Astyanax mexicanus: one gene and its partner. The protein of the gene in region 2 binds, or shares a complex with, the protein of the main gene of each other region. Links are inferred from orthologs where the notes say so. Each region holds a gene or a part of one and is shown on either strand. Other genes may lie near its edges.

Evidence for each region.
Region 1: the proteins of lrrc7 (region 2) and camk2a are in contact, whole or in part, in a crystal structure (PDB 6X5G), measured with the Homo sapiens proteins. The link is inferred for Astyanax mexicanus from reciprocal best matches to the Homo sapiens genes LRRC7 and CAMK2A. Residues at the interface, in NP_001357714.1 of Homo sapiens: His843, Gly844, Arg845, Arg846, Pro847, Leu848, Ile849, Arg850, Gln851, Asp852, Arg853, Ile854, Val855; in NP_001350919.1 of Homo sapiens: Glu96, Phe98, Glu99, Ile101, Val102, Lys137, Glu139, Leu159, Phe173, Ala174, Gly175, Thr176, Pro177, Gly178, Tyr179, Leu180, Ile205, Gly209, Tyr210, Pro211, Pro212, Phe213, Trp214, Tyr222, Gln224, Pro233, Glu236.

What each region holds. Positions count from the first base shown.
Region 1 is NC_064424.1:33,859,522-33,867,232, forward strand, and holds the start of camk2a (calcium/calmodulin-dependent protein kinase type II subunit alpha), read right to left. Parts: upstream 3,108-7,711; 5' UTR 2,794-3,107; coding exon 2,732-2,793; intron 1-2,731. UniProt on the Homo sapiens protein: Calcium/calmodulin-dependent protein kinase that functions autonomously after Ca(2+)/calmodulin-binding and autophosphorylation, and is involved in various processes, such as synaptic plasticity, neurotransmitter release and long-term potentiation.
Region 2 is NC_064412.1:25,547,234-25,555,482, reverse strand, and holds the start of lrrc7 (leucine-rich repeat-containing protein 7), read left to right. Parts: upstream 1-5,003; 5' UTR 5,004-5,589; coding exon 5,590-5,614; intron 5,615-8,249.

The DNA of each region.
Region 1 (7,711 bases), on a different chromosome or scaffold from region 2:
GAGTCCAAGACGAGTCTGAGTACAAATGCTAATGAGTAGAAGACGAGTCTGAGTACAAATACTAATGAGTCCAAGACGAGTCTGAGTACAAATGCTAAGGAGTCCAGGATGTGTCTAAGTCCAAGACGAGTCTGAGTACAAATGCTAAGGAGTCCAGGATGAGTCTGAGTACAAATACTAATGAGTCCAAGACGAGTCTGAGTACAAATACTAATGAGTCCAGGATGAGTCTGAGACCAAGACGAGTCTGAGTACAAATACTAATGAGTCCAAGACGAGTCTGAGTACAAATACTAATGAGTCCAAGATGAGTCTGAGTACAAATGCTAAGGAGTCCAGGATGAGTCTAAGTCCAAGACGAGTCTGAGTACAAATGCTAAGGAGTCCAGGATGAGTCTAAGTCCAAGACGAGTCTGAGTACAAATGCTAAGGAGTCCAGGATGAGTCTGAGTACAAATACTAATGAGTCCAGGATGAGTCTGAGTCCAAGACGAGTCTGAGTACAAATACTAATGAGTCCAAGACGAGTCTGAGTACAAATACTAATACTTTTCTGTAAGTGTACTGAAGTGTACTATGCTGCACTGGTTAAAGTATAATGAACTCTAATGGGATGAGGGAACTAAGTGTAGTGTACTGTACCAGGTTAAGTGTACTATACTGTATGGGGGTGAAAGTACTATACTGTGTTAGGTTAAGTGTTCTATATTATACTGTGTTTTCATGTACTGTACTGTACTGTGTTAAATACACTGTACTGTACTATACTGTACTTGGTTGAGTGCACTACACTGTACTTGTTTGAATGTACTACATTGTGCCAGGTTAAGTGCATTACACTGTACTGGGCTGAATGTACTGTACTGTACTCTGTTAACCCTTGCCCCTCCCTGCAGGTTGTCTGTCAGGTGGTTATGTAAGCTGCAGGTATGATGCAGTGAGTCAGTGACTCATTTGATTCACACTCTGAATCAGTCACTCAGAGCTCTGCCAGTCAGACTGAGAGAGACTTGCCATTACTGAACCACTGTACTATTCTCATACACTGACAGGCCACCCGTCATGAATCAGGAACTGGAATAGGGTCCCATGACTTTTGCTATGTCCCATGGAAGTTAAAGAACGCTGCACTGACCTGTGGGATAAGTGTTGGGTTCTCCCGCATTTAATGTGTCTGTTTACAGGTTAATTGTAGCTAGAGGCCACTGGTCCCTATCATTACCACCCACTGCACTGTCCACTGCAGGTTGTAATGCCCTATCTAATGTGTTCTCTGTACACACTTGACATTGTGGGTAGAGGAATGTTAAAACCCTGAACAACTTCAGAAATGGAATGTCCTATCCATCTGCACCCACCATCAGGCCTCTCACAGTTTCTGGGCGTTCCCAAGCCGCCCCCTGAGGAAACGCTTCATTAACAATTTACATACTGATGTCCCATGACTAATGGCATGTCAGTATATCCCAGTATAGTGTGTGCAGTATATCAGTAACTTTACAGGAGAAGGAAACCAATTTCCTAACGTCAAATGGATGTGAGCAATTTTGGAGCATTCCTATTGGTTCATTCATCATCAAATTCTGCTAAATTATAAACAACAACTGCAAATAGAATATGAACAACAACTGAAGTGCAAACACACACACAAACTGCTTGTCTAAATGCCTGTAGTAGAGAAATACTGCAGATAGAATAGGACTCTCTGGAGAAGATAAATTAACATGTACCTACTGGCACCATGCCAAATGGCAGGCATGGGCTAGAGAGGAGAAATCCCCCCAGAATTGAGCTTTGGAGAAATAGAACTGTGTTCTCTTGACTTACATATGGTGCTTCTTTCAGTACTTTTGAGACAAGTTGTCCAACTGTCCAAACTAATCATCTAATCAACATCAGAACCTGACCCTACTAATACTCTCACTCTCTTGGGGTAAAATACACTCTTGGGGTAAAATACGCTCTTGGGGTAAAATACAACCAACCAAAAATGCATTAATGAAATTATCCAACATCTAGTGTAAAGCATTCCCAGAAGAGAGACAGACTCATAGTTCATACCATTAATTTCAGGAGGAAAAACAGGGTGTCCGAAAACTTTTGGCCATCTAGTATGCACTCCACTTACTGGCATGTAATGCAAACTATTGCCTCACCATTTAGAACGGTGCGAACTGCATGCTTATCTAATAATAAAGCTTCAAGTACTGGATGACGCTTTATCAGCTAATACTTTAAGAACGATCCCCAACATCCTGACTTTACTACTTGCAGAGCTTGTGGCTGAATGCAATCAAATCCTCAAGGCAATGCTTCAAATCTACAGTTACTACTCCTTTACTCTTATTTTTTTTGCCAGATAATGTAATACAATGTAAACAATGATTTAGCAGGCAGCCCAATACTTTTGGCTATGTAGTGTACATCACAACTGTCCTATACAATTCTCTGACTCGGTTTGTCTCATTTGGTTTGTCTCCAAACCTGGAAAACCTTTTAATGAGGGAGAGAACCAACTAAGCATTTTAAAGAACCTTTTTTTGCTTAAGGAATGTCAAAGCTAATGTTTCTGACAGGTAAGGGAGCTGCCAGAGCTGACTCTCCACCTGTTTGGTTTGTGGAATAGTTCCCCGCTGAAATGAACACACACACACATTCACTCACTCACACACACTCAATCACACACACTCGGAGGTGTGTGGCAGTGCTGAAAGTGGAGGTTGGCACTCACTTGCCCAGTTCTTCGAACAGCTGATACTCCTCAGTGAAGCGGGTGCAGGTGATGGTGGCCATGCTGCTCCAGGTGCTTCAGGTCAGGCTGCCTGCGCGAGAGTCAGTGCGCGAGAGTGTGTGGGTGTGTGTGCGTGAGTGTGTGTGTGTGTGTGTGTGTGTGTGTTGTTTTTCTCCTCTTTTGTTTGAGCTGGAAGCGTCTGAGAGGAAGGAGAGGAGGAAGATGGGAAGCCTGTTGGCGCGGGGAAAAGAAGAGGGTCGCTCAGCCCTGTGGACGAGAGAGCACTGTGAGAGTGGAGGAGAGAGAGAGTGAGAGTGAGAGGGGGAGAGAGTGAGAGTGAGAGAGAGAGAGAGATAGATAAAGAGGAAACGATGACTGACAGCTTTTCTCTTTTTATGGCTCGCCCGCTCTGTCTGCGCCGTCCAATCACAGCCTGCGCTGATGCTCCTGAATACACAGCCCCGTTGTCAGGGGCAACTGCATCCCTCCTCCACCTCCATCTCCACCTCCGCCTCCACCCACTCCTCCTGCTCTCCGGGTAGCGCCAGGATGAACTAGTGCCACACGCTTACATCCAGAACAGTGGAATACACCCACACACACCTTCACACACTCTCTCACACACACCATAATCATCTTCATATTTTCAGCACACTGGATTATCTCCTTCTCTGTCACAACTGAAACTGTAACAACCACCACAGCCACCCCCCCACACCGACCTGCCGTCACCCACACCCACCCACAGCCTGGGCTGACCCCGCCTTTCCACTGTGACATCCTGCTATTCACAGTCACAACCTCTATCTCTTTATCTGCTCATCTTTCACTTAGACTGGAGCTTACATAACATACACACTGTAATACACACTGCAATACACGCTGTATAGTGTAATGCACACTGTAATACATACCGCACATTGCAATACACACTGTAATACTGTAATGCACAGTGCACTGTATGAGACACCCACTGTAATTCACAGTACAAAACACTTGAAAAAAAAAGCTAAAATATTGCAATTGTCACACCTTAACCCGTGTCTGTCTTGTGTCTCCTTTTTTTGTCTCATGTTCTCCTGTCTGTCCTCTGTTCTCATTTTTAGTGTTCCTAGCCATGTGCTCTTTAAGCACATTGCCCTGTTTTGTTATTGTTCTGTCTCTGCCCTAGCCCCACATGTCTTGTTTGTTACCCCATCCCCTTGTTACCAGTCCCAGGTGTTCTTCACCCTCATCCTGTATTTAAGCCCCTTTTATTCAATGTTCCTTGCCGAGTCTTTTGTTTGCTTTGTGTGCTCCATGTTGGGTTTGTGTAAACATAGTCTTGTCCGAGTTCTTTCTTGTTTTCTTAGTTTTGATTTATATATACAGTTTTGTTATCTTTTGTCTTTATGGTTTAGTTTGCTTTGTCTTGTTTATTTAATGCATTACACATGCTACAATACACACTATAATACACAGTGCACTATAGACTATAGACTAACACATTACAATGCACACTTTAATACTCACTGCATTAAAATATACACTGCAGGTCTGCAACAGACACTGCACCAAAATACACAATGCACTGTAATACAGCAATATAGACTAGAATTTTCAATACATTAAAATACACAATTTAATACTCACTGCACTCGAATACACACTGCCATACACACTGCACTGAAATACACACTGCACTGTAGGCTAATACTGGAATATACCAGTGGTGTGCAGTGAGCCCTTCTAACCCTTCAGAGAAGGGGCGACAAAAAGTGCATGTAAATAATTACATATTTTTTTATCAGGAAGTATATAATTATTGTAAGTGTAAGCAATTATTTTATAAATTAACTAAAATACAAAACAGCAACTAACTTAAAGCATTAGTTTGTGTTTTTCAGTTGCTACAGGACTCTTATCTAACTGAAAGTGGTTTTAACCAATCAAAGCTTTTTAAAATAGCTTCTGCTCGTGGACCCTTCTGCTGATTTTTCGAAGAGTGTAGTAATGAGTCTATTAGCAAAGTCATAGGACAATCTAACCAATCAGATTCATGATTTTTACTCCGGGGGCGGGGCCATGGCTGTCTAACCCCTTCTCAGCGCTAGGAAGAAGTGGTTACGCTACGTGCATTGATTAGTCGTAAAACGGAGCGCGCGTGCTGGATTAATTAAATATTTAGCTAACTATCATGTAGATAAGACAGATATTATGTCATATTATATTAAAAAGCACTTTTAAAGGCTGCCCTTCAACGTGAAACTAAGTAATAGGCTGCCTGACTGGTGAGTTTTATGTGTAGTTAATGTTTTGGCTGCTCTGGCGTCCTGAAGGCATACAAATGAGTGATATTTGTTGAACGCCTGTGCTTGTTGGAACATTAAGCATTGATTGTTGGGTCTATTGTATGTTTTTGAGGTTTGTAGCTGTATTTGTGGGCTGTTTATGTGTATTAAGTTCATATAACTCAGTCAAGACAGAGAATATATAGTTATTGTAGTATTTATCAATGTGTCATGGACACAGAAAATAAAAAAAGTGATTAAGCTGAAAAATATAATTTCTTTCTGTCTTATCTGAACTTTTCTAAGTATGATAGAGAGTCAAAAAATGAAATTACTAAAAGGAATTATTAATATTATTATATCATATTATATTGTACTATATTTATGTAAAAAATAACATTTATTTTTATAATTCCTGATAAAATGACACAAACACCCAATCTAAATAAATCTGGATTTGATATTTAAACAACTAATAGCAATGACGGATCTGCCACTGGGCTGCTCCTGTCTCTCTGCTTTAATAAGGATATCTGCGGTGTACAGACTCTCCACTAGAGTGCATCATAAGCAGTCAAACACTGTCATCCCGTCTCATTATCAGTCAATCTGAAATACTGCCCATCTCCAGATACTGAAATACTGCTTACATCATCCGCAATAACCAGAGCTCTGTATCCCAAAAGCATGTTAGCATTAAAAGCATCTTAACATGGAGAGAGAGAGAGAGAGAGAGAGAGAGAGAGAGAGAGAGAGAGAGAGAGAGAGAGAGAGAGAGAGAGAGTGCTCAATGTAAAGCTCGCTCGACCATGTACAAATTATCTTACTGCTAAAAACCTTTTGGGAAACCCACCTTAGATCAGATGTGTTATTAATCACTAACAGTTTATCATTGATAATAACTAACATCAGTGTGACTGACTATAACTATGTGACTGGGGAAATTAATAAAAGGGGAGGGGCTTAAGTAAACACTGACATCCTCCTTTCAGCCTTTTTTAAAATTAAAGCAGCTCAATAGATCAGAAACATCACAGCTATATTGTTGTTACTGGTTGAGTGTGCAATATTCTATAATGCAGCACCATTTACAGCTTCATCAGTTCTTGATTTTATCTGTTTTACCTATTTTATTTTTCATAAAAAAAAATATTATAATGGAGAAAGATTATAAATTGGTTATATGAATATCATAATGAGATTTAATCATTTAAAATTAGCTGATGAATATACAGTACTCATTTAATGTTTTAATTAAATTTACATTCTACATTATAGATTAAAAATATGGTATGTGTGAACATTTTGTCTGTACTATACAGCTCTGAAAAAAATAAGAGACCACTTAAAAATAATGATTTTCTTTGATTTGACCAAATTAAAAAAAGCTCTGGAATATAATAAAGAGGAAGATGGATAAACACAAGCCATTAAGCTGAACTGCTTGAATTTTTGCACCAGGAGTGGCATAAAGTTGTCCAAAAGCAGTGTGTAAGACTGGTGGAGGAGAACATGATGCCAAGATGCATAAAAACTGTGATTAAAAACAGGGTTATTCCACTAAATATTATTTTTTTAACTCTTAAAACTTTATAATATAAAATTGATGTTCTAGCTGTTTCTTTGCATTATTTGAGGCCTGAAAGCTCTGCATCTTTTATTTTGTTATTTCAGCTATTTCTCATTTTCTGCAAACGAATGCTCTAAATGACAATATTTTTATTTGGAATTTGGGAGAAATGTCTGTAGTTTATAGTATAAAAAAATGTTCATTTTACCAAAAAAATATACCTATAAATAGCAAAATCGGAACAACTGATTCAGAAAAAGAAGTGGCCCCTTAATTTTTTCCAGAGCTGTATATTTTAAAATATATGTGCAGACTCTGCACGACAGTAACTCTGTGCTGTATGTGTATATATATATTTTAAACCTTTTTAATTTAGTTTAATTTTAATTCAAACCAGTTAACAAACCCACTCACTTTGACTCCTCCAATCACTGCAATACTCTCAACACAAGGATGGTTAGAAATGGGCATGCCTCCTTCAATAAATGTGAAGTAGGGTCCCACCTCTTTTGCAACTACCCCAGTGGAGCATCACCAGGCAGCCAGAGATCTCAGAGGAAAGCATCAGATCCCCAGCAATGATACATCAGCCATTAGACACCTGTGCCAGCCAGTATCACAATGAGGGGAGAGAGAGTGAGTGATTTTGTAATTAAAATATAGATTTTATAGAAGTATAGGATTTTTAATATGGTCACTAATTTGCCAATTATGTCACAAGTTGTGTAAAAACAACATATATAACTGACAAAACACCACACTATGCAGCTCTTCCAGTAGGTGGAAGCAGAAACACTTTTAGTTATTAACAGATGCGATAGTTCAGCATACATACTAATTAATACTAATTAATTCATACTAATTAATCCTGGCACTGGACTTAAACTTCACCCCACAGTAGATCACACCTGGTCCAGGTAATAAAGGCCTTCAGATTCTTACCCTACAGTGTTATGGATCCTGCTGTATCATAATGATCATGTTTTTGACATTATGGCAGTATTTTTTAAGTGTGTTCAGTGATGATTAAACATTGTTGAAATGTTTAATGAAGATCAGATTCTGTCTGATCTGCTGCACTCAGGATAAAGAGTAGAAAACTGTGAGGAATCTCTCTGAACTGTGGCTTTTATATTTCCA
Region 2 (8,249 bases):
TTTCTGCTTGTGGAGGAAGCAGATTAAAGCCTTTAAAAAATACTAACTGGATAACCCTCTCCAGAGTACAACTCAGCAGAGCTAATAAACACCACTACATACACAAAAAAGCCAACAGTGCATCAAACTATCAAGCTTAGATCAAGTTTGATCTAAGACAATGGTAAATGTCTTGTGTCGATGTCAAGGTTGTGGGTTTGATACCCGGGTTTGGCAACCTTAGGCCCTTAGCCCACCAATCTGGGCATCTTTGCACACTTTTTCACTGTGTATGTCTTCTGAGTGTACTCACATGTTTGCTCTTGTCTTGGCCTGTCCTGTGTATAACAATTTAAATAGGAATATTGTTAAATTGTTTTGAATACACATTGGTCTACCTCTGAAATAAATTCTAGCCTAGGGTTTAACTTACACTGCATACAAAATCACTCTCTATTATAGAAACTACAGAACCTTATAGTTTTCAGCCATGATGTTTGCAATTGTGTTTGAATTCTCAATGAGAATGATTCAGTTACATAATGACTTACATAAATGTTGACTTGCTTGGTTACCTATGAAAAGAAAAATCCAGTTTCATATACGAGGAAAAATAAATGAAATCTAAAATATAAATATCAATTAAATCAATGGGAGTTGATTTCTTTAACAAAATTTAGACATTGTACATACTTTCCAGTAAACTCAGTTTAATAATGAAACACAGAAGGAACAAATCCTGATTTCATAACATCTTTGTACAATTCTATTTTCTGTACGATGTCCTACTTGTCCCACTGCACATATGTATGTATGCCATACCACTGTAAGACTGGAGCCAGCTGAGCATGTAATCCTTTTAGAAGCTCTGCTGGCAGTTTGAAATAGACTCATATATGCTGGCTTGTCAGCTTTGACACGAAAAAACTCAAGTGGAAGTCATTGCATAAGTGGAGAATGTCCCAATGAAGTTAGTTCAGGATCATTTATTTTTAAAGCCTAGAAGTCTGGGTCTGAATCAGCCTGAGCACTTTCATTTTACTTGTCCTCAGAGTAAAACGTCATAAAAATACTCTAGTGTAACCATGTCTGGTCTATTAGAATGTTGGTTTGAGACTTAATGTACACCGCCTGTTCAAAAAAAAGGTTACACACCCTAATATTTCATTGGACCACCTTTATCTTTGATTGCTGCATGCATTCACTGTGGCATTGTTTGGATAAGCTTCTGCAATGTCACAAGATTTATTTCTATCCAGTGTTGCATTAATTTTTCACCAAGATCTTTCAGCATTGATGATGGTAGAGTCTGACCGCTGCACAAAGCAGCACTTCTCCAGCACATCCCAAAGATTCTCAGTGTGGTTAAGATTTGGACTTTGTGGTGAACAATCCATGTGTGAAAATGATGATCTCATGCTCCCTGATCCACTCTTTCACAATTCCAGCCCCATGAATCCTGACATTGTCATCTTGGAATATGGTTGTGCCATCAGTAAGAAAAAATAACCTGGACTAACCTGGTCTACATTTAGTATATTCAGGTAGTCAGCTGGCCTCATTCTTTCAGCACATACTGTTGCTGAACCTAGACCTGACCAACATCATTTAGTGAGGTGGCGACTTTTTTTTGGCCAGGCAGTGTATATAGAATTTCAGTTATTTATGTTTATTCATTACTTTATATCTCAGTTGTGATTATTTCCTCAGTTTAGTAGAAAATAATGAGCAATTGTGTGGAACTGTGTGGATATGGAACGCTATAAATCTGTTTTGTTGTTTTTGGGATTCGTCTTACTACATTATTTTGCATTTTTAAGCATATATAGCATTTAATATTCATCATTATTTATCAAGGTTGGTGTTGGTTTAAATGCTTTACATATAACATCCACTGTTATGTTGTAATAGTGTAGTTTTAAAGGAGGAACTCCAGTTTTAAATTGACTTTTGGTGTAGGAAAACATAATAAATATAACTTACTTTTGTTGAATAGCCCACTTCTGTTCTCCTGCAGCTTTCTGAGATCCAGTAATTTTGTGCTTTTTGCCCAGCGCTTTTTACAACGCCCGCTTTGGGGCATATTTTGCCCTGATAAATCGCTTTTTACATCGTTATCCAGGCTCAAAGTAGCTCCACACCTCCTTGGTAGAAACAGGAGAGCTCTGACATTTTAAACGAGACATTAAGAAGTTTAAAAATGCACAAAAAGCTTATTAAAAAACACTGTTTACAACACATAGCGCAGGTAATCTTCGAGTGCCGCCATCATTGTACTGATAATGTTGTAGACATATTTACATAGACTCTGCATAGCCTGCCTCCTGGTGTAGCAGCCGGTGCCCAGTGCATTTTTTCATTTACACCGAGGAAGGTGTTTAATACACCTATAATAATAATAATCACAATTCTACCAATGTTTACCTGATTTTCACACGGTTTGGTTTATTACAGGGCAGAGATGTAATAATGATTTAGGACGCTGTCACACATTACAAATACCTGCTTTTATGCTGAAATCCTTTAAATAATGATCTTTTACAAAGACAGATCTTTGTACAGAGTGCTGGGCAAAAAGCACAAAATTCCTGAATCTTGGAAAGCTGCGGGTTTTACTACACTAAAAGTCAATTTAACATTCTCCTTTAAGGTTAGGAGTATTGTCTGCAGATTAGTATTGGTGTAGTGTGGTGTGTAGGCTACTTGCCGGGCTGGAGAGTTAAACCCTATTCTTTGAGGGGAAAAACATACTGTTACAGTTTTAAATGCTGTAAAAGATATGGTTTGCTTTCTCTGGAGGTTGACATCAAATGCTATTAGGCCAAATGTGGATCCCAAATGCCTTCATGCGCTACATATAGATAATGAAATAAAGCTCCCACCCGAACAGAGCTCAGTGTAAACAGAGCTGGTTGGGATTTGCTTTATTAAACTCTAGTGTGGGTTAATAATGAGATTTACACTGATCTCAGAAATGTATCAGAATGTTGTGACTCCTGTATTAGGCCTTCCTAAGCAGAGTAAATAAAGCTAAAAAACATTTGGGACACAGGTTGAGAATGCTACCCAGCCAACATGGTTATGTAAGGCTCACCTGGGTGGAAGATAGGCTAGGTGGATTCTAGGTAGGCACGCGCTCTGAAAGGATTTATGCATGTGTGTTTTATTGGGACCCAGTTGGGTCTCCCAAATAGGCTCCATCAATACAGCCCACCATAATTTCACATGGGTCCAATCTGGGCCAAATATGCAGTGTACCACCCAGAGATGGCATGTTTTTAACCCCCCATGGTCCTATCACTGATCCCAATTGTACCCGTGTACCTCTACCACTTGTTTTTAGCTGTCACCCTTTCCCCTTGGACAAGGGAAGAAAGTGGTTGATAACCTTACTCTCAGAAATTTAACAACCCTTTAAGAGCCTGATACCATGATACTGGCAGTGCTCTATAGGATAGGGCATCAGATCACTTTCAAAAGGAGGAGGTTTAATATTGTCTACCACAAAATTATTGATGGCAGTGAGCTGAAGTTAGCTATTCAGTTCTTCAACTTCTTATCAGATTTGTAAAACACTCAAAAAGAAATAGTAGGGGTCCAAAAGAGAAATGGGATAGTCATTAAACTACGTAATTGTATGCTTGTTATCTTAATTTTAAACACAATATTACATTTGTGGGTTTCTTTGCTTGCTTGCTCAGCTATCTCTGAAATCAAACGTTTGGATTTTGTAGGGTTAGGTAGCCTTAACATTGAACACGAATCAGGACCAAGTGGTAACCTATAGCTTTGAAAGGTAGAGTGTCATAGTTGTTGGTAGGCTAATGAAGAAAAAATGAGAAGAATGTAAGTGAGGGTCCAAAAAACAAAAAAAAAACGTAAAACGTGAATGTAGGCGTGTGTGTGTGTTTATTTGAGAAGCAGAACAGAGGCAGTCCCACGGTTCTGATCTTGTTCTTTACTCGTCTCTCTCTCTCTCTCTCTCTCTCTCTCTCTCTCTCTCTCTCTCTCTCTCTCTCTATCACGCAGTGACACAAACGCAGCCACTCCTCTTACCTCCCCCGCACTCCTCCGCTCTCTCTCTCTCCTGTCTTTTTTTCTGTTCCTTTTCGCATGCTTCGCTCCACCTGTTTTCCGCTAAGCTCCGCCCCCAGCGCTACGGTTGGATTGTACAGTGGCTTAAGTTCGTAGTTATCGTAGTATTTAGAGGGTCATTGTAACGTTTATCAGTTCTATTTTTCTCACTTTTTCTCACTCTGCTTTTATGTCTTTTTGCATCCTCTCTTATGATTTTTTTTATATTGCCTGTATATTGCCTTGATGCATTGTACCTTCTGTTTGTGCCTGTACTGTAAATAACTGAGTTTTTAGAAAAGGTATGAATATAAATAAATAAAACCATTATTATTATTATTATTATTATTATTATTATTATTATTATTATTATTGTTATTATTATTATTATTATTATTATTATTATTATTATTATTATTAGTAGTAGTAGTAGTAGTAGTAGGAGTAGTATTATTTGGTAGTTTTTTTTTTGTTTTGTTCTTTATTTCCCTTTTTTTCTTCATTTCACACAATCAGAATACCAGAAAAGAATTAAAATAATCTTTATTTATTTATTATTTTCTCCAGAAATAAAAAAAAAAATCTTTTTTTAAATACAAAAAAAAAACTTTTTCACTATACTAAATATAATAAATAAATCAAGTTTTTTTTCACAGTTTTTTATTTTACAATTCCAGAATAAGAAATATTGAACCGATAAACGTTACACTGATCCTACATGCTTAAAAACTCGTGATTGGTAGGTACTTCTCGTCACAATCTGCCTCGCCCTCTGATTGGCTAGCAGCGCCACTGGCAGTGCCCGCCTTCTGCGCTGAGACTGGGAAAAGCGTCTCTACCGCACGCGTTATTGGCCAATCGCAACGCATGGGGGCGGGGCTATGTGAGCTGCGTGTGGGGAATACGGGTGGAGAAAAAACAGCACGAGAGAGGAGCATCGCTGCGTCCACGGCGCTGAGGAAGAGCCACGGCCGCTCTGCTCTCAGCTCATCTCTGCTCTGTCCTACTAGCTACTTCACCTGCATGGATATATATCACGATGGCTGCTGCTGAAGACGGACTGAAAACGAGGGAGAAGGAAATCAGCACACGCTGATTCTTTTTTATTTATTTTTTATTTATTTATTGTAGTTGTTTGCGTTTTATATATATTGAACATGAACTTCATCAATTGCTCTCAGGGAGATTGAGGAAAAACATGGCCCAGCGTGCTCTGATATGCATATGATCTATATGCATTAGTAGTGAGGTTATAATTGGAGTGTTTTTCCTCTTTTTTTAAATCTCAGCGTGTGGAGCAGATAGAGATCTATAGATGAGATCATGTGGCTCTGCTCCTCTTGCTTTATTCTAAGAGAGACAGGCGCGTTCCGTGCAGGCGCTGCAGGGCTGCTGCGTTCAGTGCGAGCTCGAGACTGAACACTGATGTGATGCTCTGTGGATTGCGAGCACTCCCTCCTCCTCTTCTAGCCCAGCGCCAAGGACCACGACTCCAGCTGGAATAAAACACACTCTCTGATCACATAGTCCAGTCCAATGGACAATTGCTCAACGCTTCAGCGTAAGTAGTTCTGTGTGCTTGATAGCATTGATGTCTGATTCCTGCATGCTGTGCTGTGCTGTGGGTTCTTGAGCATTCTCCAGATGGCCTCATCTTCAGTGTTCACTTACCTACCTGTCTGTAGATACATCTAATATACAGTTCTGGAAAAAAAGGAAGAGATCACTTTAGTTTCTGAATCAGTTTCTCTGATTTTGCTATTTATAGATATATGTTTGAGTAAAATGATCATTGTCGTTTTATTCTATAAACTACAGACAACATTTCTCTCAAATTCCAAATAAACATATTGTTATTTAGAGCATTTATTTGCAAGAAATGTCCGAATGAAGAAATGGCTGAAATAACAAAAAGGATGCAGAGCTTTCAGACCTCAAATAATGCAAAGAGAAAACAAGTTAATATTCATTTTAAGGTTTTAAGAGTTCAAAAATAAATTTTTGGTGGAGTAACCCTGGTTTTTAGTGACTGTTGAGTTTTCATGCATCTTGGCATGTTCTCCTAGCTCCACCAGTCTTACACACTGCTTTTGGATAACTTTACGCCACTCCTGTTGCAAAAAAAAAATCAAGGATTTTAGCTGGGTTTGATGGATTGTGATCATCCATCTACCTCTTGAATATATATACATTCCAGAGGTTTTCAGTTTGGTAAAATCAAAGAAACTCATCATTTTTAAGTGGTGTCTTATTTGTTACAGAGCTGTATGTATGTATCAGTTTGTCAGTTAGCAGGTAGCCTTTATTTCAAGCCAGGACTCTTCATAATTTACATGGTTTAAGCTAAAAGCTGATTGCATATATTGCTTGGTATTGGTTTGCTATTGTCTTGGTGCCTATGTGGTGGGTCTTACCCACCTTGAGATGCTCATTCATTCCAGTGGAGTCATTCAGGAACAGGAAACAGGAATCAGAGGTGTGATGAGCCACATTGTGGGATATTGGTACAGTATTTGCTCATAAAGTCTGTGATGTCAGTGACCAGGCTTATGGTTCTTCAGGTCTCTAATCTAATCTTAAAAGGCTTCTTCTTCTTAAAAAAAAAAAAAATGTTTTTAAATTCTTGACCCAATATGTAACTGATCATGTTTAGCTTCTCAAGCTTGGCTAAGTCTAATCTTTTACGCTATATAATCTATTAGGCTATAATAGCTTTATAGCTTCATCGCTTTCCTCCATTTAATTCACTTGCGTGGAATTTTTTTCCACCCACACATCCATGCACATATTATGTTAAAGTCACTGCTGGTATGAATTGAGAATAGTAATAGATAATATTCTTGGCTTGGGTTTCTGTTTTATGAACATTTGGGAAAATGTATTATTGTTTTATTGTACAAGCATAAAGCATACACACACACACAGCAGGCTACAATTGGGTGCTGCCCAGTTTTCTATATTTATGAATGAACATGGGCACACAGTGTTATTAATTAAAAAGCATCACCATTGTCACCCCTTACTATACAGCTCTGGAAAAAATAGAAGATCAGTTTCTCTGATTTTGCTATTTATAGGTATATGTTTGAGTAAAATGAACATTGTTGTTTTATTCTATAAAGTACCAACAACATTTCTCCCAAATTCCAAATAAAACATTGTCATTTAGAGCATTTTTTTGTAGAAAATGCAAAAGTCTTTCAGACCTCAAATAATGCAAAGAAAAAAGTTAGTATTCATTTTAAGTTTTTAAGAGTTCAGAAATCAATATTGGGTGGAATAACCCAGGTTTTTAATCAGTTCTCATGCATCTTGTCATGTTCTCCTGCACCAGTCTTACACACTGCTTTTGGATAACTTAATGCCAAAATTCCTGGTGCAAAATTTAAGCAGTTCAGCTTGGTTTGATGGCTTGTGATCATCCATCTTCCTCTTGATTATATTCCAGAGGTTTTCAATTTGGTAAAATGAAAGAAATCCATCATTTTTAAGTGCTCTCTTATTTTTTTCCAGAGCTGTATTTGCAGTATATTGAGATTTTATTTTATACAGTGTTGCCCAGCCCTAACTGGTTGATATCTTTTCAATCTTTTTTTTCACAAATTCCTGCTGCGGTTTGGTGATATTAACACAGGATTACCCTTGAAGTTGTGGTATTCTCTCTCATTGACTGACACAGCATGGATATGTCCTCTAGACAAGTTAACTGATATCTGCTACAGAGGGACGGCCATCGCCGCAAATTTCCTCCCTCAGGAGTCGCGTGGGGCAATACTATTACCCTTTCGCTATACGCTGCCCGGCCGTATCCCGGAATGTGTGTGAATGGTAGATAACCTGCTGGACAGGTGTAAGCAGATTAGGTGTGGCTGTGTCTATCTCTGCTGGAGCAATGAGAGGGGAAGAAGCCTTGATGGCTGAACAAAGGCTGACTGGCAGGACCAGTAGACTGATGTTTGTATGATGGGTCTTGTGGCTGTCCAGAGATAAATGGCTTCCCCTCCGCTGGCTAGGCAGGGGACGCTGGACGCAAGCCAAGCTGCTCTAGGACAGGAGAGAAGAGAAGAGCCTGTCACCAAGAGTACTGATATGTACTATCCTGCTGCCAGGAGCCGGCTCCACTCGTTCTGTTGCAAAAAAAAAGGACAAAAGGAGGATTTTCAGCTATTTGTTGATATCCCCTATTTCCGATGCGC